Linked DNA regions of Tamandua tetradactyla. The protein of the gene in region 3 interacts with the protein of the main gene of each other region in a pairwise test. Links are inferred from orthologs where the notes say so. Each region holds a gene or a part of one and is shown on either strand. Other genes may lie near its edges.

Region 1 (7,314 bases), on a different chromosome or scaffold from region 3:
TTGTGACATGTGTCTCCTTGAATCATTCTGCCTCAGCATTTTCTCTAGAGTGAGCTTCTAGGATCAGTAGTGGGTAGGGACTTGTTCCTTTCTGTGGCTCACGACACCAACCCCTATTTAGACAAGCTTGCCAGGTAATAGCTTACCAGTAAATGTAGACTGTTTTCTCTTCTATGATCACCTTGGGGTATTTCTTACCTCATCTGTAGGAAGGTCAGGGACTGGAACTTCCTTGTCGGTGCTGGCCTTGTCCATACCACACAGAGAAAGCCAATTCTTGGCCTTCTTGGGATCAGGTCTTAGGAGAGAACCCTCAGGCCCATATGTTCTGCAGGACTCAGGGAAGGACAGGCCTCACTGGATCCCAGGGTGGGGTCTCATACAAAGGCTGCTTCTGCCCAGATACTTCTTTAGCCATAGAGTGAGGAGGTCAAGCTCCATTATCTTGAAGGGCCCTCTACCTCTGGAAAATCCTGAGGATCTGAGCTCAGCCCTGTGGATAAAATTGAGTCTCAGGACATTTTCTCCTGGGAGGGTCAACTCATTGCACTAAGGAAAACTGGGCAGAAAGTAGAATGAATATCCTGACTGCATGGCCTGCCCTTTGGCCTTGCATAGGACCAGTAAGCATCCAAGAAACCCACAAAGGAGGGAGCAGCATGGGATGATGCTAGGAAAGGAGACCATGTACTTTTCCTTCCTCCTTCCTCTACCTGGGCCTGCCTACCTCATGCCTTCTGATGACCTAATCAGGCCATTATTCCAGGGGTGCTACACATGGTTCTGGACTTCGGATAGCCTCAGCCTTTCAGATCCTGATCTGACTCTGCAGCTCCCTCAGCTCCTCATCTTAGTCTCCCAATCTTGCAGCCCTTGTGGGTACCCTCTGCTAGGCAGATGTAATGCAACAATGTTGTTGCCTTTGGGAGTTCACAGTCTAGTCAATGGCACTAGTATGTAGATGTTATAATGCAGAGGCAACACTGGACACTGCCTGGCCATGCAGGAAGTGAGTGCCCTGAGCCAGGTGAAGGGGTGAGGGGCAGGGGAAGCCCTACATGCAGGTAAGAAAAGATGGGGCTGGTCAGGGAATTAGAGTAAGCCACTGAAAAGTTTTGAGGCAACCGGGGCAAAAGAGGCAGATGCTAGAGGGGAGTCATACTATCAGGGGTTCAGGTGCATGTGTAGTAGGATCACTGAATGGACTGATGGGGAAAGTGAGACTTTCTCCAGGAGATGACAGTGTCCTCAACAAGGGTGCTGTCTGTGGGTTCTGAGAGGTTCTCAATCTGAGAAGGTAGATTCTCTGGCCTTAATGCCTGATTGTAAGAGTCAGAGAGCAGGGTTGAGTCTGAGACAACATCCAGGATTTTGGGCTAGAACAACTGTGAAGATGAAATGCAGGAGAAAAGGCAGGTTAGAAAGAGAAGAAATTATTCATTTAATTTGGAGTTCCCTGCATCTAAGGTGTCTGGGGGATACACCAGAAGACCAGGAGGCAGCAGAATGTGAGGGTTCCCAAAATGATCATAATGGCCAGCTCTTTCCAGAGGCTCCAGAAGGCTGGAAGCAGCATTCATTGATGGTTTGGCTGCAGGATTCCTGGAAAGACATTCACATCCACCACCACCCCCTCTTAGTTTCTTGGGCTGCCATAAAAAGTACCACAAACTGGGTGGCTTAAAACAATAGGAATTTATTATCTCATAGTTCCAAAATAAAGTGTAAGCAGGGCCATGCTCCCTCTGAAACCTGTAGACAAGAATCCTTCCTTGCCTTTTCTAGCTTCTGGTGGTTGCTGGCAATCCTTGGTGTTCCTTGGCTTGTAGCTGCATCACTACAGTCTCTGCCTCTGTCTCCACATGGCCATCTTCTGTGTTCTCTCTCTTCTTATAAGGACACCAGTCATAGTGGGTTAGAGGTCTGCCCTACTCCAGTATGACCTTAGCCTGATGTAATTCTATCTGCACTGTTTCCAAATAAGGTCATGTTCATGGGACCAGGACTTGAACAAGTCTCTTGGGGAGACATAATTCACCTCATAAGTCCCTCCCTACCAGGAAAAAGGCACCAACGCCTCTGGCACCAGGGACCACTCCTTGGGCAAGGTCTGGTCCAGCTCTAGTCTTGCAATGTGTGGAAAGTGTTCTAAAGCCAGCTACCGGAGGGGCAGGCAAATGAACTCTGCGACCTCACAGGGGGTGGGAGGAGATCACAAGTGCTGGTCCCCTTAAGGTCAGAACAAATGCAGGCCCCCTCCCTGGAAAACGGGGTAAGGCCAAGCACCTGCTTGCCTTACTGACCCTTACCTTTCTCTGCCCCAAGTTCTCCTTATTTCCCTCCCTCTCTGCAGCCTCCCTCTGCAGCTTCCCTGACCAGCAGATTCATCTGAGGAACTTTTAAATATATGGAACCCAAGCCCCACCCTGCAGATTCTGATTTCAGTTAAGTCTGCATAGCACCCGGAAATCTGTATTTGTTAAGTTCCCAAGTGATCCAGGTGACCAGTAAGGCTTCAGAGCATACACTGGGGAATCCTCTCACCCTTCTTCCCAGCCTCTTTCCCTCTTCAGTTGTCTTATTTGGGGAATCACAAAGTCTGAGAAAACGAAAAATTTTTATTGTCAGCGAACCCAAGGTCCAGCAAGTGTGGTCAGGAGCCGAATTCCCCTCCCCCGATTCTTCCTGAGGGCCTAGGCCCACAGGCTGCTGCTCTTGGGGGAGTGGCAGCCACCAGTGGGGTGGGATAGTCACTTGTACTGAGGAGATAGTGGGGGCACAAGTGGAGCAGCACAAACACTCAGCATCTTGTCGATGTCCACCTGGGTCGATTTATCCACCTCAGCCTTCAGCTGGCTGCAGGACTTCAAGCTGGGTACACACCCAGACTCCTCTCCAGCCTCCTCTGCCAGGAGAGCCAGGGCATGGGTGGGGGCCACTAATGTACTGGGGCAGGGCAAAGCAAGGCCTGAGCTGAGCTCACCTGCCACGGGCAGCAAGGCCTGCAGTTGCTCCACTCCTGCCTCTTCAGGGACTATGGCCAACTCTGAGTCAGGCTCCACCTCAGCCTCCGTCTCCCTGTCCCCCTCCCCTCCCTGGTTCAGCTCAGGATTGTAATAATTGATGTACTGGTACAGGGGCCGCAGACGCTGGGCTTTTCCTGCAAGGACCCGGGGCAGGGAAGAGGCTGGAGCGCCAAGGTGTGCCATGTCAGGCAACCTAGTAAGCAGGGGTAAAAGGGGAGGCCCAGAGGCTGCCACTCACGCTCCAGCCTCAAGGTCTCTGAAGGTGCAGACACTGTGCTGGCTGCAGCTGGGTGTGCTGGAGCCCCCAGACTCTTGCGCTTCTTGACTTTTTTATGCTGTTTGGCAGATGGTGAGAGTTCGCTCTGGCTGCCCTCTGGCTCCTCCCTCTGCAGCAGTGGTCCAGGTGGCATCTCAGCTTCACCTCTAGGATGGGCATTGTGACTAGGTCCTGGAAGGCTGGGGTACCAGAGCCAGGGACAGGAGGCCTGAGGTGGCATCTCCACCCGCTGGCTCCCATGCCCAGGATCTAGGGATTGCCCTCCTTACCCACTACCCAGGATCAGATAACTCTCCTTTCCTGGTCAGTGAGGCCCCAGGCTGGACCAGGGCTCAGAGCTCATGTGAACTCAGTCCCCTCCAAGGCCTTGAGGCTCCTCCTCTTTTGGTGCTTCCTACACCAGGGCTCTTGAGGGACAGAAGGAGTGGGGGTGATGATGGTGGTGGTGGCAAGAGGACAAGTTTCAGGGGGACAAGGGGACTCTGCAGGAATGCAGGCTTTAGGAATCCTAGTGGAGTGTCAGTCCCATCCCCCAGCCCTGAAGCCCCTTCTCTCTCAAAGCCCCCTCACTTGACTGGCTTCCTCTTGGGACTCTGACCAGGCCTCACAAGAGAGGCCATAGGCCTGTGGCCTTTCTCCTCCAGGGTGTCCTCTGGCTTCAACCTCTCCTCTGACTTGAGTCGCTTTTCCTGGAGCTCTGGCTCTGAGGCTGATTGCACTGGACACTTGTCTTCACCCTAGGGCCAAAAAGCCTCATTGACTGGTACCAGACACTGGTCTCCTGTCACTGTACACTAGATGTGGCACATAGGTAATTGGTCACTCGACTAGACAAAGGATACAGGAATCAGACTTTAGATATCAGACACTCTATAAAAGGCACCGATGTGCCCCTTTCCACCAGTGTAGCGGGTCTTGGAAGTTACAGGGCCTGGATCCCCAAAAGTTTGACCCTCTATGCCCCAGGGGGCCTTGGCCTAAGTATTTGAAGTCTACAAGGACCGATGGTCACCTCAGAGCTCTTAGCACGGTGACCCGGCGCCTGGGTGAGTGGTGCGGGCCCCACGGCAGTTCCCTCCTGGGTCCCCAGCCGCCTCTCCGCCCCTGCTGAGGCCATGACTGCGTGGGGTCAGCACATCCTCGATGGCGGCTTACGGGGACGGACCCTATTGGTCGGTTTGGCGGACCCCGCGCTGACCCGAGAGAAGGGCCTGGAGGCGAGTGCCGCACTGGAAAAGGCGACTGGCAGCCGTTCTACGCCTACCTTCAACTGGAACTGCAACTACAAGCCCCAGAAGGCTTTGCGCCAGGAGCACTCACCCTTAACCTAAGGGACGGAAACCACTGTTGCTAGGCAACAGCAACTTCCCTGGTCGCCGCGACAGCGGGCTACAGAACTGCTCTGGTGAGACCCCGGCTTGGGTGTTGTGGGGGAGGGGCCGCGAACAGGGCAGGAAAGTGGGCTCCGATCGGATGTCGCGGAGGTGGCGAGCGTGGGCCAGGACTGAGGAGCGGGGCGCGGGACGAGAAGGGGGCCGGGAATGGGGTGCACAGCTGGGGTCAGCGTCCGGGTCGGTGGACGAGGCGGGGGACTAGAGAGGGGATCCAGGGGCCGGGAATACGCAGCCGGGAGGCCTCGGTGCACCTTTGCAGGGCAACGGCGGCGGCATGTGCGAGGGCCTGTCCCGCATTTCGGGGCCCATCCCCCCGGATCCTACGCTCTGCCCAGATTACTACCGTCGGCCCGCCTCTGGTGAGTCGGGAGCCTGGCCGCGGCAGGTTGGGCCCGGGGCCGGCGCCTGCGCCTGCGCCTGCGCCTGCGCCAGCTCCGAGACTGAGCCCGGCGCTCCTTCCCTCCCGGGCCCTTCCCTCTTCCCCGCAGCCCAAGGGCGCCTGGAGGGAAATACACTGAAGCTGGACCTGCTGACTTCGGATCCCGACCTGGATGCCGCCCTTCTCCGCGGCCCCTGTATCGGTCCCGGAGCTCGAAAGATACAGGAGCCTGGCAGGCGTGGTGCGGGGGACGTGTTGCTGCAACTCGGGGGCATCTCTCTGGGCTCAGGGGCCCCTTTCAAGAGTAGGTCCCGGGAAGGGGGAAGAAGGGACAGCCAGACGAGTCGAATCGGAGGTCTAAAGCGGAATGAAAAGCGCCCACTCTTTCCCCGACCTAGGACAGGCTTCTGCCCCTCTTGAGTCAGTTTCCCCAACCATAAAAGCAAGAAAACAATCCACTACCTCTTCGCAGGAAAGGACTGAAGGAGGTAGTCCCGGGGAAGCCCTAGCTCAGCTTCAAGCATTCATGCATTAATGCAGTGCTGTTTTTTGAGTGCCTACTGTGGGCCAGAATTTACAGGTGCTAGAAAAACAGGTGAAGGCAAGCAGGATCCATCATGATCAAGGTGGGAGACGAAACAAAGAGATAAGTATGTACAAGATGATTGATGGTATTACACAAAAACGTAAAACGTAGTCAAGGATGGAAGAGTATTACTGTGTAAAGACAGGAACTTAGGTGGAAAGGTCAGGTAGTTCTTTCTGTGGGAGGGGTGGGCCTGTGTGTGAATGGGAGAAAGCTGGATTGCATGGGGGGTATGTAGGGCAGGGCCTACAGCATCTCTTCCCCAGGGAAGGACACCAAAGACCATGAGAAGGAGAACCTGAGGCGGATCAGGGAGATCCAGAGGCGCTTCCGCGAGCAGGAACGCAGCCGCGAGCAAGGCCAGCCCAGGCCCCTGAAAGCTCTGTGGCACTCACCCAAGTACGACAAGGTGGAGTCCCGGGTCAAGGCCCAGCTACAGGTACCTGCCTGGGGAGTGAGAAATAATATCAAGCTTGCCCATCAGCATACAATTATATCCTGATCTGGGTTATGGGGAGGGAAGAAATCACAGGGAACTTAAGTGACAGAGGACTGAGAGATAACTGGCCCTGCTACGGGGTAGTACTGAGGACCTTCTCAGAAGTGGTAATGGCTGGACTGATCCTAAGGGACAAGGAGAAATTAGGCAAGAGGAGAATGGAAGAGAACATTTCATAGAGGGAAAACCTCCTAGGTAGACATCCTGAGGCCAAAAGTCGAGTGGACAATGAGGTTGCTGGGTGCAATTAATACTGAGGGAAGAAGAGCACAAGGTAGGCTAAGAAGTCAGCAGGACCGACATCGTAAAGGGCTACATATGTCACCTTCAACCTTTATTTCTGAGGGTAGCAGGAAGGGTAGGGGTGTGGTGGTAGGATTCTGTCTTTCCTTGAACAGGGACTTCAGAAGGAAGAGCAGTGTTGAGAGAAAAGAAAACAAGGTCACATGTGGATGTGCCAAAGCTGAAGTGTTTGTGGGACTGCTGGGGGACCCACAGGAAGCAGGTGGCTATTCAATTCTGGATCTCGGAAGTGAGACCCAGGCACTCCAGAGGATCATATTGAGGACGATAAGACCAAGGAAGTGACCCTTGGGTTTGAGGGCATGGAGGTCAGCTGTCAGTGAATTTGAGTGGCCAGAGCCAGGAAGCTTGGCTAAGAAGGGGAGAGAAAGTAATAGCTAGAGCAGGATTGAGACAAAGAGGGGTGGCTTGTTGTTTTCTTAAAAATATGAGAGACTCACACAGGTTTAAACATTGAAGAGAAGTGTTTCTGTAAGAGGGATGCCAATAGGGACTGGGATAGAGTTCCTGAGAAGCAAGAAAGATGGGCATGGTCTTATGGCTTGAGATCTTGATATCAGTCTGACTGATCCCCCTTTTGTGCCCTGCCCTCCAGGAGCCTGGCCCTGCCTCTGGGATACAGTCAGCCCATTTCCTGCGGGCACACTCCCGCTGTGGCCCTGGGCTCCCACCACCCCGTGTCCCCACTTTTCCCCTAACCCCAGCAGGTCCCAATGCCAAGGTGAGAAGACGCATGGGGGCTGGGAACATGTTGGGCAGAGGTTTGGGGGCGCTCTAGGCACAACACAGTGTGCCTGCCCCCTCCATGTTTGCCATGTCCTGCAGGGGCCAGGCCCAGGTGTGGACTTCA
Region 2 (7,164 bases), on a different chromosome or scaffold from region 3:
TGGGGTTCACCCCTATGAAACATATTCCTGCAAAGGATAGGCTAAGCCTACTTATAATTAGGCCTAAGCATCACCCCCAGAGAACCTCTCCTGGTGCTCAGATGTGGTCCCTTTCTCTAAGCCATTGCAGCAAGTGAACTCACTGCCCTCCTCCACTATGTGGGACATGACTACCAACAGTGTAAATCTCCCTGGCAATACGGGACAGAAATCCCAGGATAAGCCAGGACCCAGCATCAAGTGGCTGAGAAAGCCTTCTTGACCAAAAGCGGGAGAGAAAAGAGACAAAATAAAGCTTCAGTGGCTGAGAGATTTCAAACAGAGTTGACAGGTCATCCTAGGGGTCATTCTTACACATTATATAGATATCCCTTTTTAGTTTATGGTGTATTGGAGTGGCTAGAGGGAAGTACCTGAAACTTTTGAGCTGTGTTCCAGTAGCCTTGATTCTTAAAGACAACTGTATGACAATATTGCTTTTACAATGTAACTGTATGATTGTGAAAATCTTCTGTCTGATGCTCCCTTTATTGAGAGTAACTTTGCCCTTTTACCACTGAATTGTGAATAGTTAAAAGTTCTGTGTTCAGGTGCTTTGGGCAGCGTGTTTACCAACAAAAAGTGTTCTGTGACTATAGCATACCTCCATACAAAGTCAATTATTTGGGTTATTTGGGCATTTATTAACTATGCTAGAGAAAACTCAAAATGAGAAGAGCAAGTTGTCACTATAAGCCCTGTATGTGTTTGACTAAAAGCCCTTGTGGGGAGGGGGAGTAAGCAAATGGGTGAGAAGAGAAAGATCCTCCTACAGTAGAATGCAAACTAACAAAAGTAGAATGCAAGATAGAAAATTATCAATGGATGCTAAAAACTAGTGAAAGATTTATGAGGAATAGACATCTACATAGTCTGAAAGTATTTCCACACAAAATACTAATAATTACAAATGGAAAAATAGTAAATATATGGTGGCATATCTGGCAGATATTACCTTAACCAGAAGAACAAAGTTGAGAACATCAATATTGCAACAAACCAATATCATTAGCCTCAAAGGATGAAAAGTGAAGGAGGCCTCATTACTTCTGTGATATCCCTGCTGATAATACATAATCTGAATCTAATCATGGACAAACATCAGAACCCCAAAAAGTGAGCCATTCTGCAGAATAACTTGCTTTGAAAAATGTCAAGAGCAAAAGAGAAAAATAAAGGTTGAGGAGTTGGTCTTGATTAAACATGAAAAAAAAGAAATGTAAAAACTAAGTGCCATGCATATAAATGAACTGCAGGAAAAATAGCTCTAAGATTTTATTGGGAAAAAATGAACAAATTTAAATATTACTGTGGATTAAACCAACAGTATGTTATCCACATAATTACTTTCATTTTAATCATAGCACTGTGATTATATAAAAGAATGTTCTTGTTCTTAGGAAACATACACTTAAATATTTAAGGACAAAGAGGCACCATGTCTCTGGCTTATTCTCAAATCATTTAGAAAAAAATTTATATAGGGGTGTAAGCATAGTTCAGTGGTAGAATTCTTACCTGCCATGCAGGAGGCCTGGGTTTGATTCTTGTCCATGCACTTCCCAAAAATCAAACAAAAAATCAAGAAAATGGTGCCATAATAAGAGGATACTAACATGGAAAAATAATGAAATGTGACCCTGCTACACGACATACCAAAAAAAAAAAATACAAACATAAAGCTGTAAAGAACCCCCTCACCATGATCCAGCTTGATAGCTAATAGCGACAGCAGATAGAACTTGGTGTTCTCAACTGATCAAGAAGAATGAGACAGGGTCACTCAGTGATCATGGTAAATAAGAAAAAACAAGCCCAGGCCAGAATCATGTAACAGATAAACAATCTACAATGACAAAACGACCAAATGACTGACTCTCTCAGCAAACACGAGACTATGCTTCCTTACCAACAACTTCAGACTCACTTTGATTCTCCCACCTTCTAGATCAATATTATTTCTACATCCAGTCATGAATTGCACCTGCTTCTTGACAGCATTTAGATCAGTATTATTTCTGCATCCAGTCATGAATTGCACCTGCTTCTTGACAGAACTGAACCCTGAACAAACCATTGCTACCTAAAACTTTTCCCAACTAAGCTAACACTAGTCAAAACCCAATAACCAGCCCCCTCCTAACTGCCTCTTACTGAAATATCCCATTATTCCCTGCACTGAACGGGCTTCCTTGCTGCAGCAAGCTAAAAAACACAAAAACATCTTAGATTACATTTATCTTCCTGGTGGTATTTGACTGATAGTCATCCACAGAGCAAATACGCAAAACGTAAACAGTGGGTCCTGGTAAGGAGAATATGAGAATTTCTTACTCTATGTTACAACTTTTCTGTAAATTTAAAGTTATAACGAAAAGTTAACAAATCAAGAAACAGTCATGGTAACAGCAAAAGCAATAACAATAATGATGATAATAACGATACCAATGACATCTAACGCTATCTGCAGCGACTATGCAATCTTCCCACCTCAGGTAGCAGTCCTTCAATGCAAAAAGAGGGCAATGAATCTACTCCATAAAGCCTGGGAGAAATATTTCTTCACAACTTAAAATTCCCTCCACTTTGCCTCTATACTTGCCAGCTGCCTTCTGCTTATGTCAAGAATGTGCAAGAAGACCTGACAGTTCATGATATTTACAGGGAAAAAATTCAATGGATGAGGTAGGTCCGGCATGTCTGATTCAGTTTTATTTGTGATACCCAGCTGGATTAGTTTCTAGGCCTGAGTTTCCAGGAAAGAACCTTTCCTGGGCTTCTCAAACTTTAACATGCACAGAAAGCACCCCTAGATCTTATTAAATTACAGATTCCGAGGTCCTATTTTTAGAAATCCTAAATCAAGAAGTCTTGGGGGGTTTGAGGATGAGCATTTCTACCCAGGTTGAAGCCATTGGTTTGTATACCATAGTTTGAATAGCAGTGCAGCATCTTCCTGTCCAAAGGTAAACAGCCACTAAACGGAAATATACACAAAGGTTAACTAAACAAAAATGCATCAGAATATTAGCAATTGTTATCTTTACATCCTAAGATTAAGGATAATTTAACAATTTTCTTTTTATTTTATGTTTTCTGAATTTCCACAATGGTTTTATGTTGCTTCTATAATATGATTACTTGAAGTAAAATGAATTAATTGAGAATACATTTATATTTAAAAAAATCCCTCACAGAATAGATTTAACACACTAACCTTGCTTTTAAGTTCCCCACAACCAAGTTCCATCCTACTTTGCTACCTGATTCCAGTCAGATCCCTTTGGCTCAAGGGGAATATACCAAAGAGATTATGAATGTTATGATCTGGACTCAGACAGCCTAGGTTCTAACTCCTTCTCCACCTCTTATTAGCTGGGTGACCATGGGCAACTAACTTATCCTTCTTGTGTCTCACACTCCTCAAATGTAAAATTACAGTGTAAAAGAACAGTACTTAACCATTTTAAAAGTCATTGTCTGCTGGAACTGTGTGATTTATATAAGGCCTTTAGAATGGAACTTAGCAACCAAAGAATAATTATCATTACCCACGGCCAAGAACATCTCCCACGTGTTCTCCAAATCATGTGAACATCTTTACAGAAGAATGCTAAGTCCTATTCACGTGGGACCTGCTACCTGTGGACCCCTCCTATGTATAGTGTTTTTAGAGAAATCAGGGCTGGGAAGGAAAGAAGGCTGTGAAATCCAAGATTCTGTCTCCACCCTTAATAAATCAGTAATATCCTTCCATAACAGGCAACTCCCTCATTCACAAAACAGAGGTCAGACTGATGTGTATAGCTGCATTATTCATGATGGAGGTGAGCAAAGAGTCCATAGGCTGAGAAGCGGAAGGGAAAGCTGTGGTATGCATATACAATGGAAAATTATGCGGCTACAGAAAAGAATCAAGTTGTGAGGCATGTATCAGAGCTGAGTGAACCTTGAGGACATTATGTTGAGCAAATTAAGCCAGAAACAAAAGGACAAATATTGTATGCTTTCATTTAGAAAACGTTTATTAAAAAACTAGGGCCTGGATTATAAATTCTTACAGTAGTCACATTATTTCCTGAATTTTAAGATGCTGTGTTCTTTGAGTATATAACTTGGTATATACCTAGGGCTATAGGTACCTGTATGACACCTAAGGCTCAGAGTTAGAGTTCTACAACTCTGCAAATCAGCATTACTCCATACAGCAACTGTTAAAGAAAATGAAAAAGAGATCAAACTCCAATTAGAGATATGAATAAAGCTGATCTATTTGGAATTAAGGCAAATCAGGATACAGGGTAAAGGATGATGTTGTCTGTATGTTAAAGCTTCAATTTCTATGTGAGACCAAAGGAAGACATGTTAATTCTCTCCAAAATTTAAATTTTCTGTAGCACACAATCTAGCTTAACCTATCTGGCCAGTTTATTTAAACAATCTAAATCCATGGAGTCTAGAATAGAGAATGAGATCTGTTGATTCTGCATAGCTTAAATAATGCCATGGTACATTCCACAGTATTTTGAGCAGATAATTTAAAAGTATTTGCAAAGCCCCTTGAGGGACTGGAGAAAAAATACAGAACTATTAAACTTCCCCAAATGGAAAATTTCTGAGGTTCTCTCAAGCACTGGGGACTCCCAATTTAATAAGCCAAGCCCTCAATCTTGAGGCTTGCTCTTATGAAACTTATTTCTAAAGGTAAGGTAAGCCTATTTATAAATACACCAAAAGTCACCCCCAAAGAACCTTTTTGCTGCTCATACGTGGCCTCCGTCTAAATGCAACTCTGCAAATAAACTCACTACCCTCCTCCCTACATGCGACATGACTTTAAGGATAAAAGTTTTCCTGGCAACATGGGAAATTACCTCCAGGGATAAGCTGGGCCCTGGCATCCTGGGATCATGAATGCCTGCTCAATCAAAAGGGGAAAAATAATTGTTACAAAATTAGGTTTCAGTGGCTAATAGATTTCAGAGTCCAGAGGTCATTCTGGAGATTACTTTAATGCAAGCTGCAGCCAAAAATTACAAATTGCCACAGTATGCCAAGCCACAACCAAAAGTTTTCTTGAAAACCTTAAAGAAACCTAGGGCTCTAAGACTCTATAAAAGTTTTTACTTACTAAATTTATTTTTCAGAAACTTAAAACCTCCAGATTGTTCCTATACCAGGTAAGTTCTGAAACTCAGAGGTATGGGTTTCTCCCAGAACATCAACCAGTACATTCCCCTACCCCATATATTAACAGCTCTTTTCAAGAAGAAAATATCCCTGAAGATTGAGAAAATAATCAAGAGGGATGAGTTGTAACAGAGAAGTTAGGATTAAATAAAGGATTAGGACTACCGAATCATTTCTTTTTAGTTTCTAGTGTATCAGAGCAACCAAAAGGAAATACCTGAAACTGTGAAACTGTAACCCATACTATACTTGGAAATTTGCTCTATAACTACTTATTAAACTGAACTTTGAAATTAATCACGTTTTGGTATATATTTCACAATAAAAAATGTTAAAAAAAAAAAAAAAAAAGATCAGAAGGGGTCCAGAACAATCTTGCTTCCTGGGATCACAGCGGTTCACTGCCAAACAGGGGCTTCTAGGAGTGTTATAATTATTAATAACAATAATTCATGTGCTTGGCAGTTTTAAACTTTTAATCACTATCTCGTTTTTCTCAAAACACCTAATTAGTATTCCTTTTTTATAGAACACAGCAAACAAAGGCAAAGAGATGTTAAGTAAGTCGTCCACTGTTAAACGTGTGACGTGGAAGGGGTAGCATACAGGTGGCGGAAGTGGGTAGGAAAGCGGGGACACTGTTCGAGACTTCCGAACCCAGCTAAGCATGCCCAGTGTTCACCCCAATAAGGAAACACCCCAAACGCGAAGAAGCTCCACCCAGACGAACGCAACCCGCCGCCCTCACCCCTCAAACCTCCGTGGTCAGCTGCTCCTGTATCGCTCCAAACGAAAGGCCATGGGCTATGGCTCGAAAGCGTCGCGCGGAATGACCTCAGTCACCATAACCAGCAAAAATATGGCTACTACCTTGTCCTCGTCGGGGCGGAAGTGCGTGCGACTATTCGAAGTTCCTGGACTACACTTCCCAGAATGCCGCAGCCCCGCCCTCCTTGAGCTGAAGAGCTTGAGGAGCTCTTGGACTTGTACTCAGAATGTGTGCCAGGAAAACGTGTGGAGCTGCTCATTCATATAGCGGAAGTATGTGAGACTACATGGAGTGCGTGCTACGTAGTGCCAGTTGGGCAAACACTCCCACAGTACCGCTGTCTTGGACTACTCTTCTTGGGATATCCAAGAGGAAAATAGAAAAGCCGCACCCCCCGAGATTTCCAGTTATCAGAGCTCCTGGTTTTACTTCTCGGAATGCTCGAGGAGGTCTCCGGACTAAGGCCGTGCCGATCTAATGCAAATGTGTCAACAGCGTTAGGACACTTCAGTCCCTGATAGTGCATAAAGGTGAACCGCGGGGTTGTTAGTATCTTCTGGCCGTTTGCAGAAACAAATGAAAACCCTCTAGAGAAAGGTATCATCATCCTAGACCTCAAATTATTTCCATAACTAAAAAAATTATATTAATATTGGACAAGGTGGACTTTAAGGGAAAACGCATTCCGAGACATAACACACACACAATAATCAGCGTTCGAAGTTACCATAAACTAGTAATTTGACCTCATATTTTATAAAACAAAAATGAACAGAAACAGAGTAAGACAAACGCATAATTAGACTGGGAGATTTTAACACGTAGAGGGAAATATTGAGCCTTAAATGCCTATATTAAAATACAGCGGAAGCTGAAAAATGGAGTAGGAAACATCCATTTAAGGAAACTAATGAACAACAGAAAGTAAATGGAAAAAAAATAATTAAGAGTAGATTAATGAAGTACAAAACAAAATACAGTGGTTTTCCCGCTCCCCCCCCAAGCAAGGCCAAAGATGACCTTGTCAAAAAAAAAACAACAAAATTGATGAAGCTGTGCTGAGAATAACAAAGAAAAGGGGTAGATATGAAAAACTGAATGGATATAAAACAATGTTGAAATGATGGGAACTTTATTTTTGAAACTGGGAATGAACAGAAAATATT
Region 3 (7,518 bases):
AATGGGTTGGTGCGGGAGGGGTCAAGATATTAAGGTCTGAAGATACCTGAATTCAGGTGTGAACGTTGAAATCGTGTCAGAGATAAAGGGAAAATCCTCAACCCTTTTCTGCAGACATTCCTGTGGTGGACACAGTGAGGCTCCTATTTACTCACCACATCTGCTAATGGGGACAACCAGACGACTCGTCCAGTCCTTCCCAACCTGCACTGGTTTCCTGCAGGTTCTTCTCCAGGTCTGAGTTTGTTCACTCACAGTTTAAAATTCCTATCAGAGACAGATCCCAAAAAGATCTTCTGTGGAGCTGACATTAGCTGTTCCTATCAACTCCTATTAAAGAGGTGTCCCCTTCCTTGGCAGCCCACCTTGAGATATGCAAGTGCTTTAACCCACTTTCTCCCCACCCTGCTCCCATCCGGGTTTTTCTAAGCTTCAGCTCACACTCAGATCCAGGAAAAGTGCCGTTCCTGAGACAGCAAGGCGGAGGGCCGGTTCCCCACATAACCACTGACTCCCTGCCACCCCCCAGCCCCGGGACACAGCAATCTGCATTTCCTCACCTGGTCAACTGCAATACCTCTTTAACTGTCTTTTCACAAGGCTACAAAAGTTAAAATAAGGAAAGGCAACTTTATGGGTGAGCTTAACATTGGCAAGAAATGGAGACTCAAGATTTGTGGAGCCTGAGGTTTACATACTAGGGAAGAGGTGTGGTATAGTCCTTCTTTAAACAGAATGCAAAAGTGCACCTACAGAATTAGGTTTGGCCACGTGGACACGTTGCTGGTGCTCCTCGCAGGAGGAATTCTAGGTGAGGGGCCCCAAAGCTTAAGCTTCATCAGCTTCCCACTCAATCCACCTCTGCTGGAAGACAGAAAGGACGACAGCAGTTTTTACTGCAGCACTAAAATCTCTAGAAAACCACTAAGCATAACAGTTTTCTATTGCATCAGTCCTCTGGATACTATTCTTATCTCTCGTTCACAAACCACCATCGCCGCTGTTCCCTTTAATTTGGCAGCAGCAATTCATTATACAACTGCATGGGCTGGCCTGGGCTGTGCACCCTTCCCCTCTTTTGACTAGCGATCTAGCTCTGTGTCAGTTATGTAATAGCCAAAACACAGTCGCAGTTCTTACATAAGCCTTCAAAATCAGATAGATATTTCAACCAGAAGCCATCTATAAGATATGCTCCCAGATTCGGACATTATACATGAAGTAGACAGAAAACACTGACTTAGCAGCCAGCTTTACTTCTGGTCTTAAAAACAATGAAAGCTCTTTGTGACTTAATTTATTGGTCTATATGAACATAAGGCTTTAAATTTGCTAGAGAAAATCGTCTTTAATAAGCCCTGAATATTTCATCACGTAAGCATAAAAGAACATCTTGACACTACTACTCAACATTCCCTGTTACCCCTGCACAATGAAATGTTCCGCTCAGGATTCCGGTAAGTAATCCCCAGGGAAGTCTGGGTCCCTGATAAAAACTATTCTTTGCAGTGTTTAAAAAAAAAAATTTAAGAAAGATTATTTAGACAAAATACGAAAGTGCACATGCTATAATTCATCAGCATATCTCTTTTCCAATACTTTTCTCTCGCCGTATTTTGGACTGCTTATGTCTGACTTTTCTTAAACCAGGGCAGCCACGCCTTGGCTGACAAAGTGATAAATGAAATAATATTCTCCGTAGCTCTCAACACAGGCTGCCCGGAGAAGCACAGGCAAGCTTTTAACATCACAGATGCCCAGGCACCACCAAAAAGCAATCAGAACAGACTATCAGAAAGAAGGGGCCCAGACATGGCTATATATGATGATTTCTACTTTGGGCTTCCTCTTACCCAAAAAAAAAAGTAGCCAAAAATAAGAGTTAGAGGCTTTGCTGAGGAGGTGGAGGGAGGAAGGTCTCTATAACTGGTAACTCCCAATTACTAAGTTTTCATCAGAGATCAAAACAAAATCTTTCAGAAGTCTGAAACCCATAAAGGACAGCTGTAGGATCCCTCTTATCACTATCAGTAGTAAAGACTCCTAACCAAATTTCATAACAGCATTTACAAAACCTATTTTGCTTTTTAATGCTTTGCAATTCTACCCAATGATTTATTAGAAAGGGCCCATGTTATCTTAAAAGGGTGTCTTCCAGCTAAGTGCACGCTTATCTTCCAGTAAAGTTTTGGTTTAAAGCAGAAACCATGATTCTGACTTATTCTCACCCTCTCTTATTCCACGCTCTGGGAATGACTTTTATAACTTAACCACCGAGCAAATATTTTTTTGAAAGCACTTATATAACAGAGTACAGGCGCCTTTGGTCTCCTGCCAAGAGCACTTCTTTCCGTGTTTGTATTTAAAATAGACTGGTAGTAACATCACTTGTGTGCCTGAAATTCCTTCTGTGCACAGGCTCAGAATGAAAAATGGAGGTAGCAAGCCGCTTGGTCCTTTACAGAGCTTGCCATTATAAAGCTCGCAGGAAATAGCACATTTCATACTAAAATAAGACGAATTCACAGCCCCGATTTTCCAAGGCTGGGGGAAGGTGGCACTCGGTTTCACGAACCTCCCCTCCCCTCTACAGCAGGGATGTCTAACCTGGCGGCACGCGAAGGTGCCCGAAAGGCTGCGACACCCCGGCCCGAGCAGGTGACCTGGGCAGGGGAGAGAAAGTGCCCTCGGGACCGAAAAGCCAAACCAGTGCGGCGCTGCCCCGCACTCCGGCCACCTGTCTCGCGGGGCTTCCGGGGCAGCTGCAGCGCCCAGACGGCCCCCTGCCGAGCGTGCCCCGGGTTCGCTCACCTGCGTGGGAAAGAGCCCGGGGAAGGTCCGAGCGGCCGCCGCTGCCCGCGAGCACCCTCTCACCCCGGGCCAGGCTCCAGGGCGCTTCCTCCTCCTCCTCCTCCTCCCCAGCTCGAGTTTTCCAGCGACCCCGAGGTCTGCGCTCCGCGGCTCCGCCAAGGATTTCAGCCCCGGGGGATCGACAAACTTGGCAGAGAGACCCGCGGGGCGGCGCAGGTGGCGGCGCGGGGGACGCCACGGCACCTGGAGAGCGCGGCCGCGAGACTGTCACCTCCGCCCGCCCCGCCCGGGCTGCGCCGGGAGCGCCCCGCAGCCCCCGCCCCCGCACTCACCTCGGCGCAGGCCCCGCCCGGGCCGCCGCCCCCGCTCGGCGCTGGGGGTCCGCGGGGGAGGGCAGCGGGGCCGCCGGCCGCACGCCCGGGAGCTCCACGGCGCGGCCGCGGCCGCCGGACAAAGACGAGCCGCGGGGCCGGCGGCGGCGGAGCCCGAGCCCCGGCGCGCCCCTCCCGGCTCGCGACGTGCGGTCCCCGCTGACAGCCGCGCGCGGGCGGGCGGAGGCGCGCGCACCCCCTCCCGGCCGCCCCCACGCACCGCCGAGCCCCCGGCGCCTCCGGCCGCCCCGCGGCGCGCGCCTGCCCGCCCGCACCCCGCGCCCCGCGCCCCGCGCCGCCGCCGAGGGGAGAGCCGAGCGCCCTCTGCCGGCCGCCAGCGCCCGCACCCGCGACACCGCCGGCTCCCGCTCGCGGGGGGCCCGTGGGCGCGGCCCCGCTCAGCCCCCGCCAGACCCCGGCTTCGGGAGACCCGAGGGGAAGGAGGAGTGAGACCGAGGGGAGGGGGGACACTGGGACAGATACCTTACGCCGAGGTCACAGCACGTCGGTTCACCCAAGGCAAAAGGTGGCAGCAACCCAAATGTCCACCCGCAGATGGACAAACGGAAGGTGTGTGCCCGCTGGGGAATACCACTCAGCCGTCCAAAGGAATGAAGTGCTGAGACGGGGGACAACGGGGATGAGCTGGAAGACACCATGTTGAGTGAAATAAGCCAGGCACAAAAAGACAAATGTGTGATTCCGTTTCTATGAAATATCTTTAATAAACAAATACATAGAGACAGAAAGTAGATGGGGGTGAGGGAGGAAGGAAGGGACTTAATGCTTTCTGGGTAGCAGTGCTTGAGGGCGTACAAAATTCTTGGTAATGGATGGTGTTGATGGTGCCACAGCATTTGTAATTACCACCACCAAAGTACACTTTAAATGGCTAAAATGGGTTTAAAATGACTGAAAAGCTGGCTAACAGGGCAACAGGGCAGCGACTTCCAGGACTGGCGTTCTTGGAATTATGTACAGCGAGAAGAATTGGGCGACGCATCGGGAAGAACTCTCAGATGGAGCCCAAAGTCGGTCTTGAAACTGTTTGCCTAAAAGGCAAATGTTGCTTTATAGAATCAGGTCTTTATTTCTGTGTTGAATAAGCACCAAGTGTGCCTAACACTGAGAGAGGGATCCGTCAGCCTTGACAGATCGTATGAATAAATCCATCAGTTAATATTTTCCGAAGACCTTGGGGTCCCACCTTCCTCTCCCCTAAGCAGGGCTCCTGAAAGACTTGACAGGGCAAGTGAGACCAGAGAACAGCTGAGCTGTTTAAAAATGCTAGGGTTCAAAAATGTTAGGTGAAATGACAATGTACTAAAGAGTTGTTATTACAAAAATGAAATGATGGTGCTAGTTTCTTGCACTATTTAGGTTTCTGTGTCTTTTAATGGGGATCTTTTTCTCAAACTACTCTGTTAAACAGTATCTTATATCGGCTAATTTTTTTGAACAAGCTGGACTTGGTGAAGGGAAATCTCGAAATACCATTTGATTTTGCCCCCACACTGCTGTGTTTTAAGTTCATTCTATCGGATCTCCCTGCTTCTCTGGAAGAATCTAGGGCAGATTTCATAGCTTTATCTGTCATTTCAGCTGTGAATAGCGAGTTTGGTTCTCTGGTATTAAAAAGTCCAGTCCAATCCAAATCAAAACTCCAATCTCCTCCAACTGCAGCTTCCCCACTCCCCTCCCACCACCTGTCAGCACCCAGAGGACCCACATTCTGAAGGCAGCTGTGGGGAAGACCAACCTTGCTCTACCTCTACCCCACCCCCACCCCGGCTCCAGGCAGCCTCGCTCCTCCAGGAGGTGGGCTGGTGGGGGTGGGAACCCACCTGCCTCCTAGCCTGCTGCTGACTACTCCGAGTCCCACCGCAGCTTCTCTGTCTAGTGGTCCACCTCACAGGGCCTTCTGGGGGCTCTGTGTCCTGGGAGGCAGAAATGGTTCAGACCCAGCCCCCTCCCGCCATGTCTGCTGCAGCCCGCAGAAATCCCCTGGAATTTTGCCTATCAAATTCTAGAGGTGCAGACCACTGCTCCTGCAGGATCCTCTCCTCATTCTGTGGTCACAGACAGCCTCCACCAGCCTCTCTCCTTGAAGCATTTCACGTAGGAGTCAAGGTTAATATATGTCCCCGAACTCCAGGAGATACCTACCAAACTCTCCAGCTAGTTCCCAAGAATCCCACCTTTCTTTGCACTGCCAAATAAAAATCAAATCCTGACCTGGTAAGGAGAGACCCTATTTGGAAAGATGATTTTAAAGGGGGAAGGGCTATTGCAATAGGGAGAACACCCGACCATGAGGTCTGCAAGCATCTCAGGACTGAGGGAAAAGGAGGTTTTCTTTGATAGGAAGGAAAGAACTGGGTGTAGGGTGGTGGGGTGAAAGGGTGACGGGATCAGAGAGTGTTCCAAGAATATTTTATGTCGGGGCAGCCTATTTACTGGGAGGTGCCCTGAAAGTTTAAGGGTCTGGAGGAAGGAGAGACACCTCAGCAGTTTGGTTATAAGCATTTTGTCCTGATTGCCCAGTGGAGTGGCGACATTTAGGAGGCAAAGGACGGGAGTTTGGAGGGTCTGCATCTGGTTTGTCATAGGTAAATCAGGGGGGCATCCCTGAGTCTTTTCTGAGTAATAGGGGGACGGGGGGCTCTTTGCAGAAAGCTGTTCTCCAGAACACAAATGGCAAGGAATCACTTAACCTCCGCTGATTCCCAGGATCACTGGCTCAGGTACAATAAACCCTGTCTGCGTGAACTGGGTGGGTCCTCCCACCTCTTCCCAACACTCTGGACTCTTTCCAGCGAATTCCCACATCCAACCTCCTTGAACCTTGTCTCATTTTCTTAAACTTGGGCTGAAGGTGGCAAGACCCTTACTTAGCAAATCCCACAAAGATGGTGCAGTACCTCGATTTAAAATGTGGAAATGGCTGTCTCTGTGGCCACCCTGGAGGTGTGCTCCCCAAACTACAGGCACGTAATGAACCAGCAGCCTCCAGGGCTCACACCTCCGGGCCCACCAAGGCACTGTGGTGGGGGGGGTCACGCGCCCCCTCCACCCCCCAGCTGTTCCCAGCCAACACCTGAGCCTGGGGGGAGGACTAAAGCTGGCCCGTTTGTGCCCAGTGCAGAACTCTGACCCGCAGCTCTTGCCCAAAAGCTCCTCACAGCCCTACCAGCTTCACTCAGGACTGCAGGACTGCCTGACCGGCTTCCTACACCATCTTCCTTCCTTCCCCTGTCCTTTCTCAGGTGTCAGACCTCGCCAGTCTGATGGCCCTACCCACTTACAAGCCAAGCTGCTTCTCCCTTCCTGCTGTCCTTCCCAGGTGTTTTCTCCAGTACATGTTTTGATCATCTAAATTCTTCCTGGCCTCTGCTTCTCAGAGGTCCAGCTGGCAAAGTCGCCTCTTGTTTCCAGCTGTTCCGAGACAAAGCCCACTTTAATCTCTGGGTATGTTTGCATCTAGAAACTGTGAAGAGAAGAGTAGAAATGTATTTTGATGAAAAAATAAAATGTGATCAACTGGCATTTTAGTTTAGGGTCTCCCTTCCCAGAGCAGAACCTGATGGAAGGACTCAGGGACAGAGTTTATTTCGGGAGGTGATCCCAGAAGCAGCCACAATGAAATACAGAAATCAAGAGAAGGAAGTTTGGAAAAAACAACATAAGGGTGTGGGACACAGGGCGGTGCAGCGGTGGCTCAATGGCAGAATTCTCGCTGCCATGCCAGAGACCCGGGTTCGATTCCCAGAGTCTGCCCATGCCCCCGCCCCCAAAAAAAAAGTGTGGGACACAGGTCCCTGCTGTACACAGCAGACACTCAGTACCGCTGGGTCTCTGAGACACTTAAAAAAGCCCTCCCAGAACTGTCATTTCTAGGATGGGGGTATGAGCATGTTGGGAATCACCTTTGGGGTGTCTACTCCCCTATGCTTCCGAGCACCCAGGGCTTTAAAGAAAGCCTTGAGGCAGAAAAGAAGGATGACCCTGGCAGCTTCCTCGAGGCAGAGCATTGTCAACTTGACTCCCAGCAACCAGTGTTTTGCTCATTAAAGCTGCAGCTGGAAGGCAGCCAAGGAGGTGGGGGCACAGCATCAACAGAGTCTGCTATGGGGGACTTAACCAGACCAAGGAGCAGGCGAAGGTCGCAGAGAGAGGGCAGAGGCATCTGCCTTATGCAACTGCAAACTGCTGCAATGCCAGTAGGAGGACTGAGGAAGAGCCAGTGGAGTGGTGGTTGCAAGTCATGATAGTCACTTGGGCGGGAGACTGGTCTACCCAACAGCAGGCTATTTATTAAGGGTCAGTGCCTGTGGGA
Region 4 (7,661 bases), about 130 Mb from region 3:
CAACTCCAGCAGGCCCCAGGCTCTGGTCAGCTAGATTTCCCTATCCGTGGAGTACCTTGGCCTGGATGGCCCTCTGGCACCTCCCTGCCTCTTCTCCAGCTATTCCAGCCCTCTCTGCCTCCAAACCCCCCTCAGAAAAGCCTCTGAAGGTCTCAGAGTTGCTCAACTGCTCTCAAATTGTCCCCTGGGTCAGGGCCACCCATGCAGCCAGAGCTCAGGCCCCTCGCAGGAGGAACTGGCTTATTCCAGTCACGTGGTCATTTCACAGGCACCTGCCCCATGGCAAGGCCTCCGCCTCATACTCCCCTCTCTGGCCTCCTTGTCCTTCTCCTACTTCTTTCTCCCTGCAGGGCCTTGTGAACTCGCCTTCTCTGTCTGTCCCCTGTCTCGTGGGCCTCTTGGCCCTTTGCTCTTCCCCATCTACACACTTTTCCTGGGTAACCTCATCCTCACCCCTGGGAAACCACCACCCACAGGCTCACGCCCCCCAGATCCACAGCCCTGGCCTCCCCCAGCCCCCCGAGCCTGGGCCTAGAGACAGTCCTGGAGACAGCAAACAGCTTGACCGAGATGCACTTCCAGGTGAACAGGGCACGTGCATGCAACTGGCAAAAGTTGTATTTGTGATATATATACACGCCGCGTCACATACAAACAACATACAACCCAGGACAGAAGTCAAACATTCACAGCAGCTACATGTGGGTGGTGGGATTACGGGCAACTTCAATGTCTTCCTTTTGCATATGTGCATTTTCTAGGCTTTTTCATCATGAACATAGACTGCTCATGTAATAAGAAAACATTAACACTTGTTTTTAAATGAAAAGGAAGTACCTTTATATTGCTATTCCAGAACTGTTTAGAGTGAGGCTTAGGGAGAACCATGATTATCTTGAATGGGGGTCAGTAAACTTTTTCTGCAAAGGGCCAGATGGTAAAAACTACAGGCTCTGCAGGCCACACAGTTTCTGTCACAACCTCTCAATTCTGCCAAAGTGGCACAGACAGCCACAGACAACACGTAGACGAGTGAGCATGACGGCCTCCTAAGAGGACTTTACACTAAAATTTTAATTTTATATAATTTTTAAGTCTCACGAAATATTCTTCTTTTGATTTTTTTTTTAAATGCTCAAAACATATAAAAGCCATTCTTAACTCATGGGCCATACAAAAACACGTGGTAGGTTGAATTTGGCCACACGCCATGATTTGCCAAACCCTGCCCTTGAGCATTCAATATCAGTGTGGTGGTTTGGAGCCAGCATCCACTTCTTTGGAAGGTACTCCTTCTCTGCTCTCAGACTGAGGGTGAGGCCTTCTAGGGTTTCCTTGCACGTGTGAATTGTGGCAAGGACTAGGTATACGAGCCTCAGCTGGGGAAGCCCCTGCAAGTTTGAGGAGCAGAAGGTTTGAGTGCCTTCTGGAATCTCAGAGCACAGCTCACCTTGTTAGCAGGGCTGGAAAAAGTTGGTACTGTAAACCAGCAGTCCTGGCTGGGGCTTTAGAAATCCCTTGGTCTGTGCCCTCAATTTTCAGGTGATGATGTGAAGACTTAGTGACCTACCCAAGGCCACCCAGATTGATAGGGGAGACGTGAGATTAAACTGAAGGCTTGTGACTTTAAATACAATGTCCTTTCTGCACCCCTGGGGCCACGAGTGATGGCAAGGGTTGCACTGCAAGGGCCTATCCAGAGATGGCATTCCCTCCACTGGGCACCATTGCCAGGGAAGTCAGCAGCCGCTCATGGGCCACCTTGCATAGGAAGAAGATGTGGCATGTGGCACTGCACAGAATGTGGTGACCAGTCCAGCCTGGGGTGGGAGTGCCGGCTTGGTTCTATGCCAGCAGCAGGGAGGGGCTGTGACCCCTCTGCTAGCCTCACCCTGCTCCCTGCTGGGAGAGTAGGTCTGGGCCCCCAGCATAGCTTACATGATGGACACTGTCCACCAGCACAGCGTCTTCCACCTACCTGCTTCCAGGCGGTGGGTTCTGCCAGGACATAGGGAAGGACAGCTTTGTCCCCCACAGGGCCTGGTCACCTAGCAATGGGCTCCTTTTCTGGGTGGCAGGGGACCAGAGGAGAGAAGATGCCCTGGTTCCTGAGGGAGGAAAAGACAGGCTTCTTTAGGGGAGAAAAGGTGTGTGGAGCTTTTCTGGAACTTCCCAAGGAGATGATAAATGGAGAGGGCATGAGGGAGGGTGGAGACGTTTTAAAAATAGAGCCCCCTTTCCAATTTGGGACCTAAGACGTGGTTTTTACAGAAAAATACTGGGCAGAGGCCAGGGTACTGAGGCCTGCCAGATGTAGCACACTGATTCCATTTGCCCTCATTGGTAATGCTGTTAGGTCAGACCAAAAGCTAGAGGTATCGCGAACATTCTCCCACTTGGGTCCTCTCAACCACACGTGGTAATGCTACTATTCTTTCCATTTCACAAAGCAGGAAACTGAAAGTAGGATGAGCAAATTACTCCACCTAAAGTAACCAGTTACTAAGTAGCAACGGCAGGATTTGAACTGACCCTAAAGTCCATCAATTACCTCCACCTATGGTGGAAAAGAGACGCATACTAGGCACATCAGTAATGAATGAATGCATCAACACATCAGTAATGAATGAATGCATCAACCAGCCCTATTGGGTCACCTTGTCTATACCCAATCCCTCCGCCAGGGGAGATGTTACTTAACGTCAGGGGGTGAGGGGTGGCATGGTTGGCAGGGGGCGGGGACCCGTCATCAAGAGTTCTAGGAAGGAGGCTCTCACCACTGTCTCTTTGAAAGTTCTGGCCAATGTTTCCCAGACCAGGGTGCCCTCACCTCGATCTCACCAGAGATACTCATGCTGCCAGGGAGTTTCAAGACCCCTTCCAGGTCAAAGCCAAACCACGCAATGTCCTTATCCCCCATCCCTCCCCATTTTCCTCAGACAGAAGCATGGAGATTTCAGGAACATATGGGTTCTCCTTCAGACAGCAGGGCTGGCTTAGATGCACCTACACTTTTCCCTCTTCCTGCTCTGCTGCTGTGCCCCTGGCCCGCTCCGCCAGCCCCAGCCACCAGCTCTGCAGCAATCCCGAGGCCCCAGACCCTCCACCTGAGCTGCCCTGGGTTCTGCGGGCACACGTGTGTGTGCATGCATGCAGCTGTGCTGGCCAGGACAAGCCTCACCGTGGTCTGTTCCCACCTCCTGGAGATGGGAAAGAGCCCATTCAGCAGCTGATGCCTACAGAGTGAAGGCGAAGGGTCCAGGGTGGAGGGAAGGGGCACGACAGGACACAGAGTCAGGAGAGAGAAATGTGACTCGTTCCCAAAGAGGTGAAGCTAACCAGGTGGGTCTGGATCCAGGCCAGCCACTCCCTCATGGTCACAGAGCAGAGGAGGGACCTCAGACCGGGCAGAGGGTCTTTTACTCCCGGGGAAGGAGGCCTGCCCGAGGCTCCTCAGAGCAGGAGGCTGTGGATTCGTCAGGCCCCAGTGCTTGCCTCACTCACATGCTGGAAACTAGAGGGCAGAGCCCACCAGGTCACGATTCCTGGTCCCCTCCTGGCAGGTTCTATCCTCCCTGGTCCTCTTTCACACGGCTCCCCCTTACCCTGGAAGAGCAGGTTGAGGGCTGAGCCTAACATGGGAGAAAAACCAGCCTCTGTCTCTCCCCCAGAACTGGGCACTGTACAATGGCCAGGGAAATCCCTTTTAAATAGCCACCACCACCACTATAGCTTCTGGCTACTTAGCATCTGCCATGTGCCAGTTTGGTCTGTGCTGGTGCTAGAGTCCAACAAGATCCCGGGTTTTCTCTTCCCTTGGGGTCTCAAGTTCAGTTAAGGAAGAGGGAATCATGGGAGGGGGCAAGTGGAGGTGCTGCTGACATACAGGGTGGCCCCAGAAAGGCGAGCCCCAGGTGGAGCTGAGAGGAGCCAAGCCAGGCTCTGCCCTACACTGTAGGGCCCGTTGCCCCGCACACAGGGAGGCCCAAGTAGTCAGAGAACCAAGGCTGCGTCTGTAGGAGGAACAAATGCAGCCTTAAAGGCCGGATGGAGAGGCTGCTAAGACAGGCAGGGTGATCCCATGAGATCTCAGATTAGCAACCCACTTTTTTTCTCAGATCTGGTGCCCTCTTTCCTGTGACCCACGGAGAAGTCTGGCTCTGCCTGGCACAGGACAAAGGGAGCTTCATTACTCAGAGCACGGGCCCCCTTCATTCTCCCAAGGAGTGATGCAGAACTAGAGAATCCCAGAGCAGGCCAGGATCACCCCGGATTGAGCTGGGATAGAGAGCAGGGGCTTGGGGTCACGTGGAGAAGGGCTGGACCTCGCTTCTGTGCGACCTCGGAAAGGCTGATCTCTGAGTCTCAGTCTCCTTACTTGTAAAGTAAGGGTAATAATATGTACTCTAAAAGTTGTTGTGACACTTACGGTGTTTAGTATGCAGTAGGTAATCAATAAATGGTAGCCACTGAGACATGCAGAGAGCAGATAAAACTCATTGAAATATACTCTGGCTTCTGGAAACGCCAGGATATTTGGGAAGAATGAACAGGGAGAATCCTAGGATCCTAATGGTCAGTGAAGTCCCAACACCCCCAGAGGCGATGGAGTTGTCAGCCCTACAGGCTCATCGGCTGCACAGAAGGTGGCTGGCCTGGGGCAGGGTAACCCTGAGACAGGGGCTTTCCTGTGGCAAAGTGACCTTCTGCAGAACGCCTTTAGGATGCCGACCTCCACCCCGCAGCCAGCGTTGCTTGGGGATGGTGCCTGGCCTTCCCTAGCTCCACCGCAAAGCCAGGCTAAATAAGGATGATTTCTGCAGGCCCGCTGCCAGCCAGCCAGCCGACTGTCTTCCTCGAAGATTCTGCTCTCTCAGGCCAGTGTCCAGGAACGTGGCAGCGGCTTGACACAGGAGGGGCAAGCAGTGTCAGTGAGTCCCAGGGCCCAGGCTGCAGGTGGGGGTGAGGGCAAGACAGCGGAAGCCGGGGGACAAGGTTCTGGGGAGCTGACCCCCACCCCTCACAACCCTAACTCGTCTACCTCTGCTGCCAGGAAGGGGCTCAGACAGAATTAGAAAGAGGCCACAGGTGCCTAGGAAGGTGTTGACAACTGCCCCCCCACCCCCACCCCCAGCACAGAAAAATCAGTTACCGTCTCCACAGCCTGACTCCTACCAGAAGCCTAGGGACAGTTCCAGGGAACACCCCCCCACCCCCACCCCAACAAAACAAAATAGGGAGACAACGAGGCCTCCAGCCATACCCGATTTCAGATTTCTAATGGTCTCCCCCAAGATAGTAAGAGCAGAGTCCTCAAGCCACGTTTCTTTAGTCCTTGCGTGACCCCCAACCCACCCCCACCTTCCCACCACAGTAGTAACCCCTTGTCTACCGCTGCTGGGCTGGGGCCGATCAGGGACTGCCCCTTTGGTCTTCCCGAGGGGGCACAGTGAAAAGGCAGCACGCTCCACAGGCCTGTCCCTCCTCCTCCCCACTCCCCGTCCCCGTCCCCCCAGGTCTGGGACCAGCAGGGATTTATGCGCCCTCCCCATTCATCCCAGGGCTCTGCCCCCCACCCCCCACACACTCCTAAGCCCCTCCAAGGCGGCTACCTGCCCCCACACTCCTGGGACCTCTCTTTCCCGAGCCTCCTGACCCTTGCCCTTCCCAGAAGGAAAAGCTCTTACATAGCGCCTGGTTTGAGGACTCGGTGGAGAACTTTGCTTTGTAGGATTTGGGCGGGAGCCCGGGGGCCAAAACGGGGTCCTAAATGCAGACTCCCTGGGGAGAGGGGGGTGGATCTGAGAATGAAAAACAGCTCTCCCTCCCTCTCTCCTAAGCACCTGGAACTTGGGAGTGTCCTTTTACGGGGCGTCGCCCACCCCGTCACACACGCGCGACCTGCGATCTCGGGATCTCCCACGTCCCTCCGGTATTTCCCTCCAACCCCTCGCCCCAGGGCGAAAGCAGAACTGCGCCTTTAAGAAGCTGTCCGCTTACCTTCTCTCGTTCACACGGCGCCGCGGAGCCCCCTCCTCCTCCGACCTCCCTGCCCCTTCCCGGGCGAGCCCCCCGCAGAGCCAGCCGGACACACGGCGCAGCCCGCGGGACTCACCGCGCGTGTCCTGGGGGCCGCGGCGCGCCGGCTCCCGCCCACGACGGCAGGGGCGCAGCCAGACTGGGCGCCGTACCCTGCGCCCTGCGCCCTGCCGAGGTCCCTGCCCGCGCTCGGGGCTGCTTCCCCTGCTCCAGAAAGGTGAGCGGCTCCCCAGAGAAGCTGCAACCTGAGCTAGAGGAGGAGGAGGAGGAGGAGGAGGGAGGAGGGGAGGGGAGGAGGGGGTGGAGGAAGGTGGGGAAGAGGAGGGAAGAGGAGGAGGAAGGGAAGAGCCCGGTCCCCGTCAGAGTTTTTCACACGTACAAGTTGACTCCTCCCTCGTCCCTCCGGCCCTGCCCACAGCCGCTGCCAATCCCTAGGGCTCCCTCTGCCCCGGTGCCCACCCCTTTCTCCCACTCTGGGAACCAGGGTCCAAATGCCTCTTCCTGTTTGGTTCCTAGGCCAGGCTCCACCAGCCTTGGGGGACTGGCCCTGAGAGGTCTGAGCAGGGGATGAAGCCCTCTGGACTGGATGACCCCGGGTTTGGGGCTAGAAGACCAGAAGGCTTTGCTGAGCTCCTTTCTCTAAGCACCCTTCTCTCACCTTCTGGGCGGGATCCTGGACCCGCACCTCTGGAGCTCACCTAGGGAGGCAGGTTCTGTTGGTAAATTTTCACCTTTAGAACTCTTGACAGCAGTAGCCCTGGAACTCTCCCTCTGACCTGCCCAGTGGAACTTGTCACTTACCTTTAGGGACAAAGTCCCCACCCTTGTTGGCTCCGCCTCTTGAGTGCTTGAATGAAGCCCTGTCAGCTGGCCGTTCTGACCCTGAACGGTAATCCCTTTTGTCCTTTTGGAAGCAAACCCCAGGGGCCAGCTGAGAATCATCCAAGAAGCCCTACAAAATAAAAAAGTGCTAGTCCAGCTCTCATTTTACCAAAGGGAATATTGAGACCCCCCCAAAAAAAAGGAGATTGGACTGGCCCACAGTGCCACAAGGAGTTGGCCGAGAACTAGAATTAGAACCCCAGGCCAATGGCTGCTCCACTCATACCATTTGCTTACAGGGATTGAAGCAAAACTGGAGGAGCAATTGCACCCCCATCTGGACCCCTTCTAGTCCTGCTTCCCCCTGAAGGCTTTGAGAAGAGGAAGTTAAGCTTTAGCTCCAATGAGCACCAAATCAAGGAAGTCTGCCTGGAGGCATGGCATCTTCAGCCTGGGAGCCCTGGCCGGGCGGGTCTTTGGAGGGGGTGGTCCACCTTATGGATAGGTGTCTGCTTGAAGCCTTTATCCACTGCTGATATGACCTGACTGTCACCTTGCAGGTCCCAAGCTTTGAGCCTGGTGGGATTGCTCGGGGAAGACATCAGCCCGAGTCCCACCCTCAGGCCAGCCTCTGGTCCTGCAACATCACCCTGCATCGAGCCCACAGTATAAGGGAAGGCCCAGATTCCTCAGGAACTGGAGAGGGGAGAAGGAAGGGAGCATTGGACCCATGAGTGAGAGGAATTTTTAGGTGTTTGGCATGGGGCATCCTCCAAGGGCCTCCCGACTCTTTGCTACCC

Evidence for each region.
Region 1: the proteins of MTUS2 (region 3) and ENKD1 interact in binary tests that used the Homo sapiens proteins (3 or more experiments, as listed by UniProt). The link is inferred for Tamandua tetradactyla from reciprocal best matches to the Homo sapiens genes MTUS2 and ENKD1.
Region 2: the proteins of MTUS2 (region 3) and uncharacterized protein LOC143659047 interact in a two-hybrid assay, tested with the Homo sapiens proteins (2 studies listed by BioGRID and IntAct). The two-hybrid records come from large-scale screens. The link is inferred for Tamandua tetradactyla from reciprocal best matches to the Homo sapiens genes MTUS2 and ZNF224.
Region 4: the proteins of MTUS2 (region 3) and CDK18 interact in binary tests that used the Homo sapiens proteins (3 or more experiments, as listed by UniProt). The two-hybrid records come from large-scale screens. The link is inferred for Tamandua tetradactyla from reciprocal best matches to the Homo sapiens genes MTUS2 and CDK18.

What each region holds. Positions count from the first base shown.
Region 1 is NC_135342.1:61,397,958-61,405,271, reverse strand, and holds the start of ENKD1 (enkurin domain-containing protein 1), read left to right. Parts: upstream 1-4,307; 5' UTR 4,308-4,315; coding exon of another isoform or gene 4,316-4,420; 5' UTR 4,421-4,708; intron 4,709-4,956; 5' UTR 4,957-4,971; coding exon 4,972-5,056; intron 5,057-5,185; coding exon 5,186-5,380; intron 5,381-5,928; coding exon 5,929-6,101; intron 6,102-7,059; coding exon 7,060-7,185; exon of another isoform or gene 7,186-7,289; coding exon 7,290-7,314. Other genes in the region: C16H16orf86 (uncharacterized protein C16orf86 homolog), read right to left, coding at 2,751-3,187, 3,265-3,482, 3,874-4,040, 4,316-4,420. UniProt on the Homo sapiens protein: Microtubule-binding protein which regulates microtubule organization and stability. Promotes the stability of astral microtubules and facilitates the proper orientation of the mitotic spindle.
Region 2 is NC_135342.1:20,258,693-20,265,856, forward strand, and holds the start of uncharacterized protein LOC143659047, read right to left. Parts: upstream 3,017-7,164; 5' UTR 2,992-3,016; coding exon of another isoform or gene 2,970-2,991; coding exon 2,967-2,969; intron 1-2,966.
Region 3 is NC_135330.1:194,043,852-194,051,369, reverse strand, and holds the start of MTUS2 (microtubule-associated tumor suppressor candidate 2), read right to left. Parts: upstream 3,001-7,518; 5' UTR 2,812-3,000; intron 1-2,811. UniProt on the Homo sapiens protein: Binds microtubules. Together with MAPRE1 may target the microtubule depolymerase KIF2C to the plus-end of microtubules. May regulate the dynamics of microtubules at their growing distal tip.
Region 4 is NC_135330.1:63,230,006-63,237,666, reverse strand, and holds the start of CDK18 (cyclin-dependent kinase 18), read right to left. Parts: upstream 3,018-7,661; 5' UTR 1,979-3,017; intron 1-1,978. UniProt on the Homo sapiens protein: May play a role in signal transduction cascades in terminally differentiated cells.